Linked DNA regions of Arabidopsis thaliana. The protein of the gene in region 1 interacts with the protein of each later gene in a pairwise test. Each region holds a gene or a part of one and is shown in the gene's direction. Other genes may lie near its edges.

Region 1 (4,145 bases):
GTGACTTGGTGTAATCTCCTAGTTGGATAAAAATATTGGACCGTTGATTCGATAGAAATGCCAAACGACATTACAAATCGGATATATCGATTGGATGGAATCCAAAAGTTTATCCAATATAATCGACTAAAGTTAAAAAATGAGTAATCCACCAGTCTAACTAAATACTTTCTTTACCAACAAAAATTTGGGATACAACTGAGTTTATTTAGGTGATAAAAGATTATAAGACTTAACCTTTTAACAAAAAAAATTTTTTAAGACTTCAATCCTTAGATTGTTTTCCAAATATTAATAGTTACAATAGTTAGTTTGTAAAACCTATTTTTAATTTTCCGATACTCTTTGCACGTTGTGTTGAATCCGAGAAATCATGGGGGCTATATAAACAAAACTATACTATGAAATAGCCAAGCAACTTCAGTGATCGGATCTTTGGTTTTTTATTTTAAAAAAAATAAATATTTTATCAGCCGTATCTTCAGGGCCATTCCCCATAAAAACTATAATAGCTTCTATGAAATTTGTAGATTCCTAAAAAAATCTTTATATATCTTTTATATACAATATGTGGCTGTTACGTAGAACAATAAGACTATACAAAAGTTGGGTATTGTTCCTTTTCAATTACAAAAGTCATATTCACTAAAACAAAGCCCTTCAAACTTTTTAAAAAAAATGAATAAATCACGCATTTATACAAAAAGATCCATCCATGCTCCTATAAATTCGAGCATATAATTAACTAAAGAATACTCAACATGTTCATAAGTACACCTGTCTTCACACTCGTTTCACACATTGTAATTGACATAAATTTTAATATCTTTTAAAGCAAAGCATAAGTAAAATTATATAGAGTATTTCTTCAACACATTTCCGGACGATATCACCACGAAAAATATCCTATATCACCTATGTGTCATGACTCATGACCATAAGGAAGGAAAAATGTATTTTTATGATCAAACGGTTTTCACTTTTTTTATTATTCATTCTAGAAAAAAATTATAATCGTTTTCTTTCATTCCTACGATACAATAATTCATAACGATCTTTTAGAATTTTTGTTTTGTTTTCTGTGTGTATGGGTAAATATCTTTCATACGTAGACAGATACATAACAATTAAAGCTGGTGAAGTAATAATTGTGAAGAGACAGAGAAATTGAAAAAAGAGAGTTTGTTTTTCGTCTAAGTAAATACCGATGATGCCCTCACCTTTCTAATTCCCTCCTTTGTCCCTTTCCATTTTCATGTTTATTTCTAACTTCTCTGTCCCTTTCAATCCTTCTCCACCAGATATCCTCTGATTCGATCCCCCACAAATTTTTTCATAAAAATTATTATTATTCTCACTAAAACTCTCAAGAGTAGTTTCGATTTTTCCTCTGAATAAAAAAAAATCAAATAATATATTTGACAAGAGAATTTCCTTCCTAAACATAACATTTTATTTGAATGTTAATTCAATTGATTATTTTTCTTTCTTATATCCTTTTCTTTGGCAAAATTTATTTCTTATATCCAAGCACATTTTTCAATAGGGTTTTGTATGTATGAAATCATATCTACATGCATAAAAGAATAATATAGTGAATAACTGATTTTCTAGAATATTGTAAAACCTTCTTTTTGGGTCCCCATTTATATATATAACTCAATACCTTACTATCTCTCTATATATATATAATCTTCTCTCTCACACAAAACCTAAAATCTCTTTACTACCAGCAAGTTGTTTTCTTGCTAACTTCAAACTTCTCTTTCTCTTGTTCCTCTCTAAGTCTTGATCTTATTTACCGTTAACTTTGTGAACAAAAGTCGAATCAAACACACATGGAGCCGCCACAGCATCAGCATCATCATCATCAAGCCGACCAAGAAAGCGGCAACAACAACAACAACAAGTCCGGCTCTGGTGGTTACACGTGTCGCCAGACCAGCACGAGGTGGACACCGACGACGGAGCAAATCAAAATCCTCAAAGAACTTTACTACAACAATGCAATCCGGTCACCAACAGCCGATCAGATCCAGAAGATCACTGCAAGGCTGAGACAGTTCGGAAAGATTGAGGGCAAGAACGTCTTTTACTGGTTCCAGAACCATAAGGCTCGTGAGCGTCAGAAGAAGAGATTCAACGGAACAAACATGACCACACCATCTTCATCACCCAACTCGGTTATGATGGCGGCTAACGATCATTATCATCCTCTACTTCACCATCATCACGGTGTTCCCATGCAGAGACCTGCTAATTCCGTCAACGTTAAACTTAACCAAGACCATCATCTCTATCATCATAACAAGCCATATCCCAGCTTCAATAACGGTGACTAATCTCTCTTATACATGCTTTTTTATGAATTTATTCAGGTGGTTTTTTATAATTACTAAGAGAACCATTTACACCACTAGCTATTACATGAATTAGCACACACAAAAAAAAAAAAACTAACAAGATCTACATATATGACTTTGATAGATATATGTATATGTTAATTGTTAAAAAGATTTTAAAAAATGCTGTTGATTTATGAATTTATTCAGATGGTTTTGATTTAAAAATCTAAAATATATATTATAGGAACATGTTACACACCATCTATTATTACATGAATTAGTAAAAATAATTAAACCCAAGAAGATGTTATGTACATGTAATGACGTATATTTGAAGTTATGGATCTTGATTGGGGCAAACCAAATTTGCATCTAAAGAACGGTTTCTTTGTTGTGTAATGGAAACTAGACTCACGTGCATTTTATTTTCATTTGTGACTTGTAACACAATTAGGGATTTGGGTTAGTAGAAAAAAAATCACTAATTTTATGTCTCTTTCTTCATTCTTTTCCCCTGTATATAGTATGGTCTGGATTCTGGAATCACAACATATATGATCACTGATGATACGTATATTAATATGTTTGAAGGGAATTTAAATCATGCAAGCTCAGGTACTGAATGTGGTGTTGTTAATGCTTCTAATGGCTACATGAGTAGCCATGTCTATGGATCTATGGTACGTACCAAACTATAATTCATTAATTCAAATAATATTTATACTACATATATGAATAGAAATTTAATGAAACTGAAATTTTTGGGTGAAGGAACAAGACTGTTCTATGAATTACAACAACGTAGGTGGAGGATGGGCAAACATGGATCATCATTACTCATCTGCACCTTACAACTTCTTCGATAGAGCAAAGCCTCTGTTTGGTCTAGAAGGTCATCAAGAAGAAGAAGAATGTGGTGGCGATGCTTATCTGGAACATCGACGTACGCTTCCTCTCTTCCCTATGCACGGTGAAGATCACATCAACGGTGGTAGTGGTGCCATCTGGAAGTATGGCCAATCGGAAGTTCGCCCTTGCGCTTCTCTTGAGCTACGTCTGAACTAGCTCTTACGCCGGTGTCGCTCGGGATTAAAGCTCTTTCCTCTCTCTCTCTCTTTCGTACTCGTATGTTCACAACTATGCTTCGCTAGTGATTAATGATGCAGTTGTTATATTAGTAGTTAACTAGTTATCTCTCGTTATGTGTAATTTGTAATTACTAGCTAAGTATCGTCTAGGTTTTAATTGTAATTGACAACCGTTTTATCTCTATGATGAATAAGTTAAAATTTTAATTACTACTATGAAGAAATGACTATTTCAGTAAATTTTTAAAAAGGAATTCCTCACAGATCCGGAGGCATGAAAGAAATGCTAGAGATGTACTATATTTGATTACAATGTTATGATCTTAATTATCGATTACAACGTGATCTTGAACCGAAATCAACAATAGTTGTTTTACAACAGAACTTGTGAACAGTTGAATGTTTTTTGGTAGTTCAAAACTAAAACAAGCAAGTTGCTTTTCAGTGGAAGTTTTCTTCTTCTTCATGTTATGCAATCAGCTTGATCTATCGATAATCATGGAATTTTGATTACATCAATACGAACGGTCAAAATCAATCTCAATTATTTCTATGCGGTTTTTTCCTACCTAAATTTTGATTACATGCATTTATCAATCCGAACTCACACAATTTTCAAATAATAAATCTGAGTTATGTAACCGTTAGCCAATTTCAACATATATTCATTATAAATTAATATTAATCGTTAGCCAATTAAATAAAAGGAATG
Region 2 (5,204 bases), on another chromosome or scaffold:
ATCTAAAATATACAACAAACTGTGTGCCCTGAAAGGTCTTACAATTTTACACTAAGTGAAGTGGACAGCATGCTTTTCACTAGGTTTCACTCTTACGTCCCCGTGTCGGAGTAACTTACTCAAATTGATGGGAACCTTTGTTCTCTATTTGACCACTATAAATTTTCAATAGTTTTTGATATTTCTCCTATTTATTCGTCACTTAAGTCCGACCCCTCAGAACTTATCATGATTAGTTTCTTGTTTGTATGTGACGACGAGAAGAACAAATAAGATTCATTGCTACAAAACTCAAGTACTAGTGATGATAGTTAATCGCGGATTGCTGAAAAACAAATAAGATTCGATTAATACGATTTATTTAATGATTCGGTTAAAAAAGAATAAGATTTTATCTCCTAACCTAGTAATGTTTTTGAGCTTCTAACTTTGTCTTATGCATCGTCGGTTGGTAGTGCCTCCAATCAAGTAAATTAAATTATATTCTTTAATCTTATTTTCTCTATCGATTTTCCATAAAAATTCCTTTCCGTTTGTCTTATATCGTTCCTCGTGCTGCCGGAACTAAAACTGGAAAAAGGTTCGACTTTTACGGAAACCTATTTTTGGATTCAGATTTTCTTAGTTTAATCAAATATGTGAAAAATATAAAAAAAAACAAATGAATCTAAGGATCGTCCCCAACATTATCTGTCGATGTATGGGCTTAGGGGACATGAATTATCAAAGGGCGTTTTGGGAATCAAATCTTGGACTGTCTATCGGTGTCACTAGGGCCAAAATTAAATTAATGTCGTATAGTATTTTGATGGAAATGAAGTTAATGCTTCGTGGAATAAAAAACCTTTAATGTTAACTTGTTTTGAAAATTACTAATAAACATAATCGAAACTATATACAATATATATTTTAAGGTGATATCTCACTGTCAATGTGATATTATTCTTTTCCCATTTCTTATTTTCCTTAAATTTTATCTTATCACGTAAACAAAATCACTTTCTCCACAAACAATATATAGAAGGAAAAAGAAAAGCTTTTTCAGGTATTAATTAGACGCAATATCATATTCAATTTATTCTTAGGCACCCAGCCACCAAGTTCGTAATGTTCGGTATAATTCCAAACTCCGATTTCAAGGAGGACAAAGAATTAAACCAATAAACAAGACAAACAACAAGTGACGACGAGACTTCAGTTTTGGTTTTAATGTATCTTCATCTCTTAAATTTCATGCAGGTGTATTTTTTATATATAGTAGCATTTTATCAACAACTAAACAAGTAGCTATGGTTGTTCCTTTTTTGTTTTCTAAGAAAATATCAGCCTTTGATTCTTATTTTAAATTTTCTACAATGATATTATCAGGAAAAAAAAACATATACACACACGCATCTTTCAGTTTCAACACAAGTGTCATTTTCACATGTAAATCTGAACACAAATAATCGAATAATTCCATACATTATTGTTTTATTATACCATCATTAAATACTGATATGTGATAGATGATATCTACATTGTAACAAAATATGCCATATAAATTGGTATTTTCCTTTACATATGAAGAAAAGGGAAAGGAAAAATTAAATGGAAATTCATGTTTCACCCAACCCCTTTATTAGACTCTTAAAGTGTCATTTTCTCAAAGGGAACAGAGAAGAAAGAGACTTCTCATTTCCCTCATACCTTTTGCCATCCCTATTTTTCTCTCTCTAATTCTTTACAACTGCTTTTCTCTTCTCACCAAGAACAAAAATTCATTAAGTTAAGAAGAAGAAAAAAAAAACTTTTTGAAATAAATAACATTATACCCCTCCTTTTTCCCATAAAATTCATCAAGATTATCTCAAAATCATTCACCAATTCTCTCTTCTTATGGAGCTTTTCCCTTCACAACCTGACTTGTACTTGAAGATCAGCCGAAGAAGAGAAGAAGAACAAGAAAAAGAAAGTCAAGAACTACAAGAACAAGAAGTCGAAAGGAGATTAGGGTTTCAGAGTAAAGCCTCAGATTTAGACAACAAGTCTTCAAATAATCTCATCCACACTCTCCAGTTCACTTCAAACAATGAAGCCACCAAGATTAATAGTAATCAAGAACACAAGGAATCTCTCGATCAAGACTTGAGATCTATTTTTATGATGAGACCAATAAGAGGAATCCCTCTTTACCAGAATCAAGTCCTTGACCACTACTACTACTCATCTACCTCTCCCAATCCTTTCTTCTTCAGTGAAGTCAACGGTCAACATGCTAGTCGTCGCTTAATCACAAACCCTAATTGTAGTTTTAATCTCCACAACCGTCATCGGCGTCAAGCTCAACCGCAGCCGCCAAGATTCACCGCCAAAAGAGGAGTAAGGGCTCCAAGGATGCGGTGGACGACGACCCTCCACGCCCATTTTGTACACGCTGTTCAATTATTGGGTGGTCATGAAAGTATTGTCCTTTTTCACTATTACCCCTTTTTATTTAATTGAATTTATATCTCTTTTTCATTTTTAACAAAAAGAATAATGAATAGGCTTGATCAAAAATTCTATTTTTATTGACTTAGTAATTATGATTAATATCCAGGAGCAACCCCAAAATCAGTACTTGAGCTGATGGATGTGCAAGATCTCACATTGGCTCATGTTAAATCCCATCTACAGGTAATCTTCTTAAGTTACAGGTACATAATGTATAGGTAAATAAATGAATTTATTGTATTATGGATTTGAATATGCAAATGAACCAAACCCACTGCACTTTTTTATGAAATGGCTAAAAGAAAAATTGTGATTAATTTGGACATGGTTAAACTTTTGGTCGCCCCCATATATATATATATATATATATATATATATATATATATATATATATATAAAGAAATTATATACAAAGTGAAGAAAGAAAAAAGATAAAAAGAGAAGGAATCAAAAGCAAGATATAGACAAAGAGTAAGAGAAAGAGTCCTTTTATTACTAGAGATGCAGTAGAAAAGTAAAAGTACAAAGGAGACATCATTCTTCAATGATGATATTTAGATTGATATGCACACATATATGTATATGCATGATTCTTCAATGATAACAAATATATAAGTTGCTGTTTTGCATAATTTGACTATAGTCAGAATAAGGCACGTAGACCCATGCACATCTCCCATCTCTGTGTATGGCTGCACATTTTCATGAATCGTAAATGCTTTCTGTTTTACTTTGATCTCTTTTTTTCTTACTTTATCCATCTCTGTCTCTGTGTGCGTGCATATCTAGGTTATAGCCTTATATACACACACGTGAATGCCTGAATGGAACAAGTCTAAACACACGAACATCACACACACATTATATATAATTCATGTGTATGTATTGATCGATATAACTATTAATTATTCTTATAACTAGCACTTATATATAATATTAGTAATCTAATCTATAATGTTTCAGATGTATCGAACCATCAAGTCTACTGAAAAACCTACAACGTCATCAGGTTATTTGATTGATTATGTATTTGATTTAATTAAATTATCTGTTAAATACTATACATCTGATAAACGTGTGTGTATAGGGCAGTCAGATTGTGAGAATGGATCACAAGTAAACAGTGAGAGAGAAGCAAGAAATCTCACGGGTCTATGGAATAACTCCTCAAGGTATGTTATGTTTTAATATTTGCCTAAGTAGAATTTAGTATTTGTTGGACAGATATGTATATACTTATTAGGCAACTTTCTATATTTGCATCATATGAGAAACTTAATATATATAATATTATGTTAGTTGAGCCAAAATCATTAGCATTATATTATTCTTTTTTGTTCCTTCAAAAAATCAATGTGATATAATTTGAATCTGTATAAACAGTGAAGCTCGGTTCCAGTTGAAGGCAAAGGCATCATCAGGTGTAGACATTTCATCCAATGAGGTAACAGATTTCAAAAATTTAACCAAAAGGGCATTGGAATAAAACGGGACTTGCAAAATTCGAGGCTGAAAAAAAAGAAAAAAAAAGTTTTTATAAAGGATTATAAGTTACTTTTTTTCTCTTCCATTTGGGTAAAAAAGTGTTTTTCTTCTTTTGATTTTGTCTCAAAAGCAGAGAAATTAAAGACTTTGTTTTGGAGAGTTGATATCTATGATACTTTATTTTCAGAACCCAATTCACTAGATTTGATTGTCTTTAAATCTTCAAAATAGTTTAATTGGAAATTTTGAAATAGAAAGCAAACTGAAAATAAAGACACAGTCTATATATGAAATGTTATATGAGATGATTCTTATAATATATAATCTTTTATTCTAAAATGATGTCAGAATGAATGGAAGAATCGAAGATGTCCAAGCAACGAACGGTTGTCGTCAGATTCGTCAAGCCTTACAGGGACAAGACCAGAGACTGAAACTCCCAATCTTGATTTCACTTTAGCTACACCAAACCTCTCTCCCTAATTTTCTTATATATACTAAAAATACATATTATCTGTTAAAAATTATATAAATCTCAAACTTAAAAGTTTATGCTTTTGAAAAAATATATATGAAATGACGTTTATTTCTTCCTTTATTCATTTTTCCTTTTGTACTGTAAAATTGAGATGCTTTTTTTTTTGGGTCATAAATTTGAGATGCTTGTTCTTGTCTTGAATGGGAATAAAATTATTTGGTCATCATTACAGCGATGCAAAGCTATGACTCATCCACGTGTCTAAATCGGACTGCTTTACTTCTTAACACATGGTTCTCTGACACGTGTCTGACACTTGTGACGTTGACCCGACGAAGACTTTCACTAATTTTTTCTTCTAATTATTCATTTTGAGTAAAGCCAAAAAAGAGAATAAAACGAAATACATTACAATCTATCCATAATTCCAAATGTTAAGAAAACTAACCAACCATACGAAGATTCTTTTTATTGGTAACCTTAACAAGAGCTTTAGACACATGAAGCATACGATGATGATAATGAAAATACGTAGTAATTACATAATCTTACTTAAATATAGTATATTTTACTAAAATTTTAGATTGGTCAAATCAAAAATACTTTAGATGAATATAGCAAAAAAGTATATTTGAACAGTAAAAATATCGGAGGCTATTTCTAGCTACAACGCAAATATCATAATCTTATGGTGGCAAATGAAGAAAAATACTTACCGGCGAAAAGGCCTTATCACAAGTTGAGCCGTTTTAATAATCAATTTGGA
Region 3 (4,202 bases), on another chromosome or scaffold:
TAGAAAGTTATCAATATTGTAAAAGAATGTTCAAAATTTACAATTAGTATCTCAAATTATAAATACTACTACAAATTGTTCTTACATAGTAAAGATATAAGTTCATACAAATATACAATAAAACTATATTGGCGTTATTGGTTTAGGTTCTCGAATGTTGGTTATTTCAAGCCTAAGGAGGAACGACTTGGGAAATAAGAAGCGACTAATAATGTACTTCTCTACTGGTATATGGAAATTACAAAGTTTTCGAAAACTACTCCAAAAAGTGTTCCACATCGATTATATATGATATCATGATTATATATAATCAAATAAATCCACAAAAAGAGTGTTTGGTATTTTTATATAACACGTTCTAGCCAAAAGAAATGAAGATAAACTATACAAGAAAGTGTTGCTAGATAGATCGAGATGAGGATATTGATCATTATTGACTGATGATGATAGCGAAAAGGTAAATTAAACAAACACATAGAAAAGAATAAGAAAATGGTATAGATAATAGAATCATGAATTACTTTTACAGCTTGATCATTTTTAAAATAAAATATACAATCAACATTAATCTGTTATTCACCAAAAAATAAAAGATCCAAAACCTAAAACTTTCTTTCGATCTCTCCCTTAAAGTTTTCAGTTCGCACGACGCTAAAAGGATTGTCAGTCCTTTTTCTCTGCTCAAGCACTCGTAGATTTTTAATTACATATCCCTTTTCAGTATTCATCAAGTGCATAATCATATAGTCTATGATTTTTATCAAGTATTATATCTATTTTCTAGGGTTTCAAAAAAAGATGCTCTTCGATTGCAGAAACTATTATGCACACCAACCTCATTTAAATAAATATATAATTCAATCGTCTAGATTATTTTCTATATTTTAATACAAATCATTCGGTTAGCTTTAGGTTAATGAATCAGTGATCTCACTTTTCTCTTTGCGCGTGTGACATTATTTTTGACCATGAAAAATTAAATAATTTTGGATTAAGAAATTATTAAATAATCCGGTTTAGGAGATGTTTTAAGTTTAGATTCGGGAGTGTTGTAAACTCTAACGTTTAGTTTCGGTGACAACTTTTAAATTCAATTTTGATAGTCGTGTATCTATTATCCAACAAAATCTCACTTAGAGATATCAGATATATCGCAAAATTAATCGAGATCAACTTCAATAGTTTCATCTTCTACGAAAGTAAAGTTGTCGCCGCCGGCGTCTTCAATTTAACGTGTCGATAACGTTCCATATTCGAGTTTGCATATGCATGTCACTGGAAATAATAGTTAAATCATCTAAATCGCATCCATTAATGATTTGATCATCATAAAATTTGGTAAAAAAATTACCTAACTCAAAAGTAAAATATAAAAATTAATCGTTTGAGTAGTTAATTAGTTTACCGGTATACTAGTTAAAAGTTTTTTTCCTTTGACGGCGCTCATATATATGTTTTAAAGTATATCAAAATAGGGATTTAATTCTTAAAGTTACACTAATCCTAATTCTTAAAGTTAACCATCCATACCAATTTACAGAAGTACAGAACTAGTGCTTGATACAGAGGAACAATTGATCTCATCGAAAGTTGGGACCTTTTTAAAAATAATACTATTATATATATATAATAAATATACAAATATATTTAATATTTATTCTATATATAAATATGTGCATAATAACAAATCTGAGTATGAATAGTAGGAGGGGTGTATAGGGCTTTCAAGTCTTTTCTTACAGAAACTATCTATAACTCTAGCAGAGAGCTCATTATAGAACAGAACAGAAACAGAGCTTTCTAAGTCTACAGCACAGAAATAAACCTCATTTACAGACTGTTTTACTTTCTTTCCTTTTTGAGCATTTCTTCTTTCTGTTTCTTTCCTCTGTTTTCTCTTTCTTTCCCTTTTTGGGTGTCATCTCTTTAAGACAGAAGAAACGTTTCTCAGAGTTTCCTGTGAACTCATCTGTTTGTTCTCTTCTTCCGGTTTCACTTTTTCATGTCCTGCCGTTATTACAACGAGGTTGGTTTAAAGATCAGCTTTTATCATTTTTCCCTGCATGTAACAAGAAATATTTAGGTTTCATGTCTGTTTACAAATATGCTCTGTTTCTAAGTATGCCTCTCACATTTGTCTTTGTTTTGGGTGTTTTTAGGATTGTGTTTGATCCGATGGAAGGATTGGAATCTGTGTACGCTCAAGCTATGTATGGAATGACACGAGAGAGCAAAATCATGGAGCATCAAGGATCAGATTTGATTTGGGGAGGAAATGAGCTAATGGCTCGAGAACTCTGTTCTTCTTCTTCTTATCACCACCAACTCATTAATCCGAATCTTAGCAGCTGTTTCATGTCTGATCTTGGAGTCTTAGGTGAGATTCAACAGCAGCAACATGTTGGCAACAGAGCTAGCTCGATAGATCCATCATCACTCGATTGTTTGTTATCTGCGACGTCGAATAGCAACAACACCTCGACGGAGGACGATGAAGGAATATCTGTGCTTTTCTCAGATTGTCAGACTCTTTGGAGCTTTGGTGGAGTCTCATCTGCAGAGTCTGAGAACAGAGAGATCACTACTGAGACGACAACAACGATAAAGCCTAAGCCTTTGAAGAGAAACAGAGGAGGAGATGGAGGAACTACTGAGACTACAACAACAACAACAAAACCTAAGTCTTTGAAGAGAAACAGAGGAGACGAGACAGGAAGTCACTTTAGTCTTGTTCATCCTCAAGATGATTCGGAGAAAGGAGGTTTCAAGCTTATATACGATGAGAATCAATCGAAATCAAAGAAACCAAGAACAGAGAAAGAACGAGGCGGTTCTTCGAACATTAGTTTCCAACATTCAACTTGTTTGTCTGACAATGTCGAGCCCGATGCTGAGGCGATTGCACAAATGAAGGAGATGATATACAGAGCGGCTGCATTTAGACCGGTGAATTTCGGGTTAGAGATTGTGGAGAAGCCTAAGAGGAAGAACGTCAAGATATCGACGGATCCTCAAACGGTTGCAGCGAGACAGAGAAGGGAGAGGATAAGTGAGAAGATTAGGGTTTTACAAACATTGGTTCCAGGTGGGACGAAGATGGATACTGCATCAATGCTTGATGAAGCTGCTAATTATCTCAAGTTCCTTAGAGCACAAGTAAAAGCTTTAGAAAACTTGAGACCCAAGCTTGACCAAACCAATCTCTCTTTCTCTTCTGCTCCTACATCGTTTCCATTATTCCACCCATCTTTTCTTCCATTGCAAAATCCTAATCAAATCCATCATCCAGAGTGTTGACAGATTATAAACTTTTGAGTTTCATCATCATCAACAGAATCATGGCGTCTTGATTGTTTTAGCAGTTCTCAAGAAAGGCAACTTCTGTGACAAGGGTGGTGTCGGGCAGTGTTGTTTACACTTTCCAGTCTTTGTTTTGCATTTCTTTTTATATAAAGTTTGTATTTTATATAGAATCTGTGGAATTCGAGGGTTGAAATATTGTGAAAAACAGAGCCGCAAGAGGTTAATTACAGTCTCTGCAATATTTTCAACCTTTTATTACTTTATTAGAGTAAAGATAGCGTAAGATAATTGCAATTATGAAGCGATGATTATCAACAAAAGTGTTTAGAAAGTGCCTCCATCTCTCTCTACTTAAAAAAGTTTAGCTTTACTTGAAGAACTCTTTTGGAGTACTAAAATATAAAATTAATATTCATCCTCTTTTTTTGGTACTCAATAAACTCTGTCTGTCTCTGTAAAATATGTATAAATTTCGTATATCTATAATGCAAGGTTATTTAATTTGTGTTACTTATCCATATAAAAAAACGATTTTAGTGGAAGAACTTATTATTGTCTTATAATTTTATTTTCACATAAGTGTTTTTTTGTCTGGCTCAAATACAAAACATAGTTTGGATGGAGTTTAGTAAGAGTTAAGAATGTTGAAGGCGTGCACCTTGAGAATATAACTTCACCTGACTCGTACACCCTAAAATGCTCACCACATGCTTCTCTATCTCACTCTCCATCTTTTTATTCTTCTTTTTTGTCTTTTGGTTTTTGTCTTATTTCGTCCCTAAATCTCCTTAATCACATTCTCTTTCGTTTAATAGTATTTTATGAAGTTCTTTTGATGGATGTGTTTTTTTGACTTGGGTACATTGACTATCAACTTTTTATTTATTCGCAATAACACT

Evidence for each region.
Region 2: the proteins of WUS (region 1) and KAN3 interact in a two-hybrid assay, tested with the Arabidopsis thaliana proteins (one large-scale study listed by BioGRID).
Region 3: the proteins of WUS (region 1) and AT3G21330 interact in a two-hybrid assay, tested with the Arabidopsis thaliana proteins (one large-scale study listed by BioGRID).

The regions. Positions count from the first base shown.
Region 1 is NC_003071.7:7,808,365-7,812,509, reverse strand, and holds WUS (Homeodomain-like superfamily protein), read left to right. Parts: upstream 1-1,698; 5' UTR 1,699-1,838; coding exon 1,839-2,334; intron 2,335-2,936; coding exon 2,937-3,025; intron 3,026-3,116; coding exon 3,117-3,410; 3' UTR 3,411-3,639; downstream 3,640-4,145. Other genes in the region: AT2G17960 (uncharacterized protein), read left to right, coding at 56-130. UniProt on the Arabidopsis thaliana protein: Transcription factor that plays a central role during early embryogenesis, oogenesis and flowering, probably by regulating expression of specific genes. Required to specify stem cell identity in meristems, such as shoot apical meristem (SAM).
Region 2 is NC_003075.7:9,847,373-9,852,576, reverse strand, and holds KAN3 (Homeodomain-like superfamily protein), read left to right. Parts: upstream 1-1,649; 5' UTR 1,650-1,878; coding exon 1,879-2,443; intron 2,444-2,581; coding exon 2,582-2,658; intron 2,659-3,438; coding exon 3,439-3,484; intron 3,485-3,562; coding exon 3,563-3,647; intron 3,648-3,858; coding exon 3,859-3,919; intron 3,920-4,308; coding exon 4,309-4,443; 3' UTR 4,444-4,644; downstream 4,645-5,204. UniProt on the Arabidopsis thaliana protein: Probable transcription factor that regulates lateral organ polarity. Plays a role in lateral root formation and development.
Region 3 is NC_003074.8:7,505,545-7,509,746, forward strand, and holds AT3G21330 (basic helix-loop-helix (bHLH) DNA-binding superfamily protein), read left to right. Parts: upstream 1-1,695; 5' UTR 1,696-2,026; intron 2,027-2,159; 5' UTR 2,160-2,175; coding exon 2,176-3,297; 3' UTR 3,298-3,642; downstream 3,643-4,202.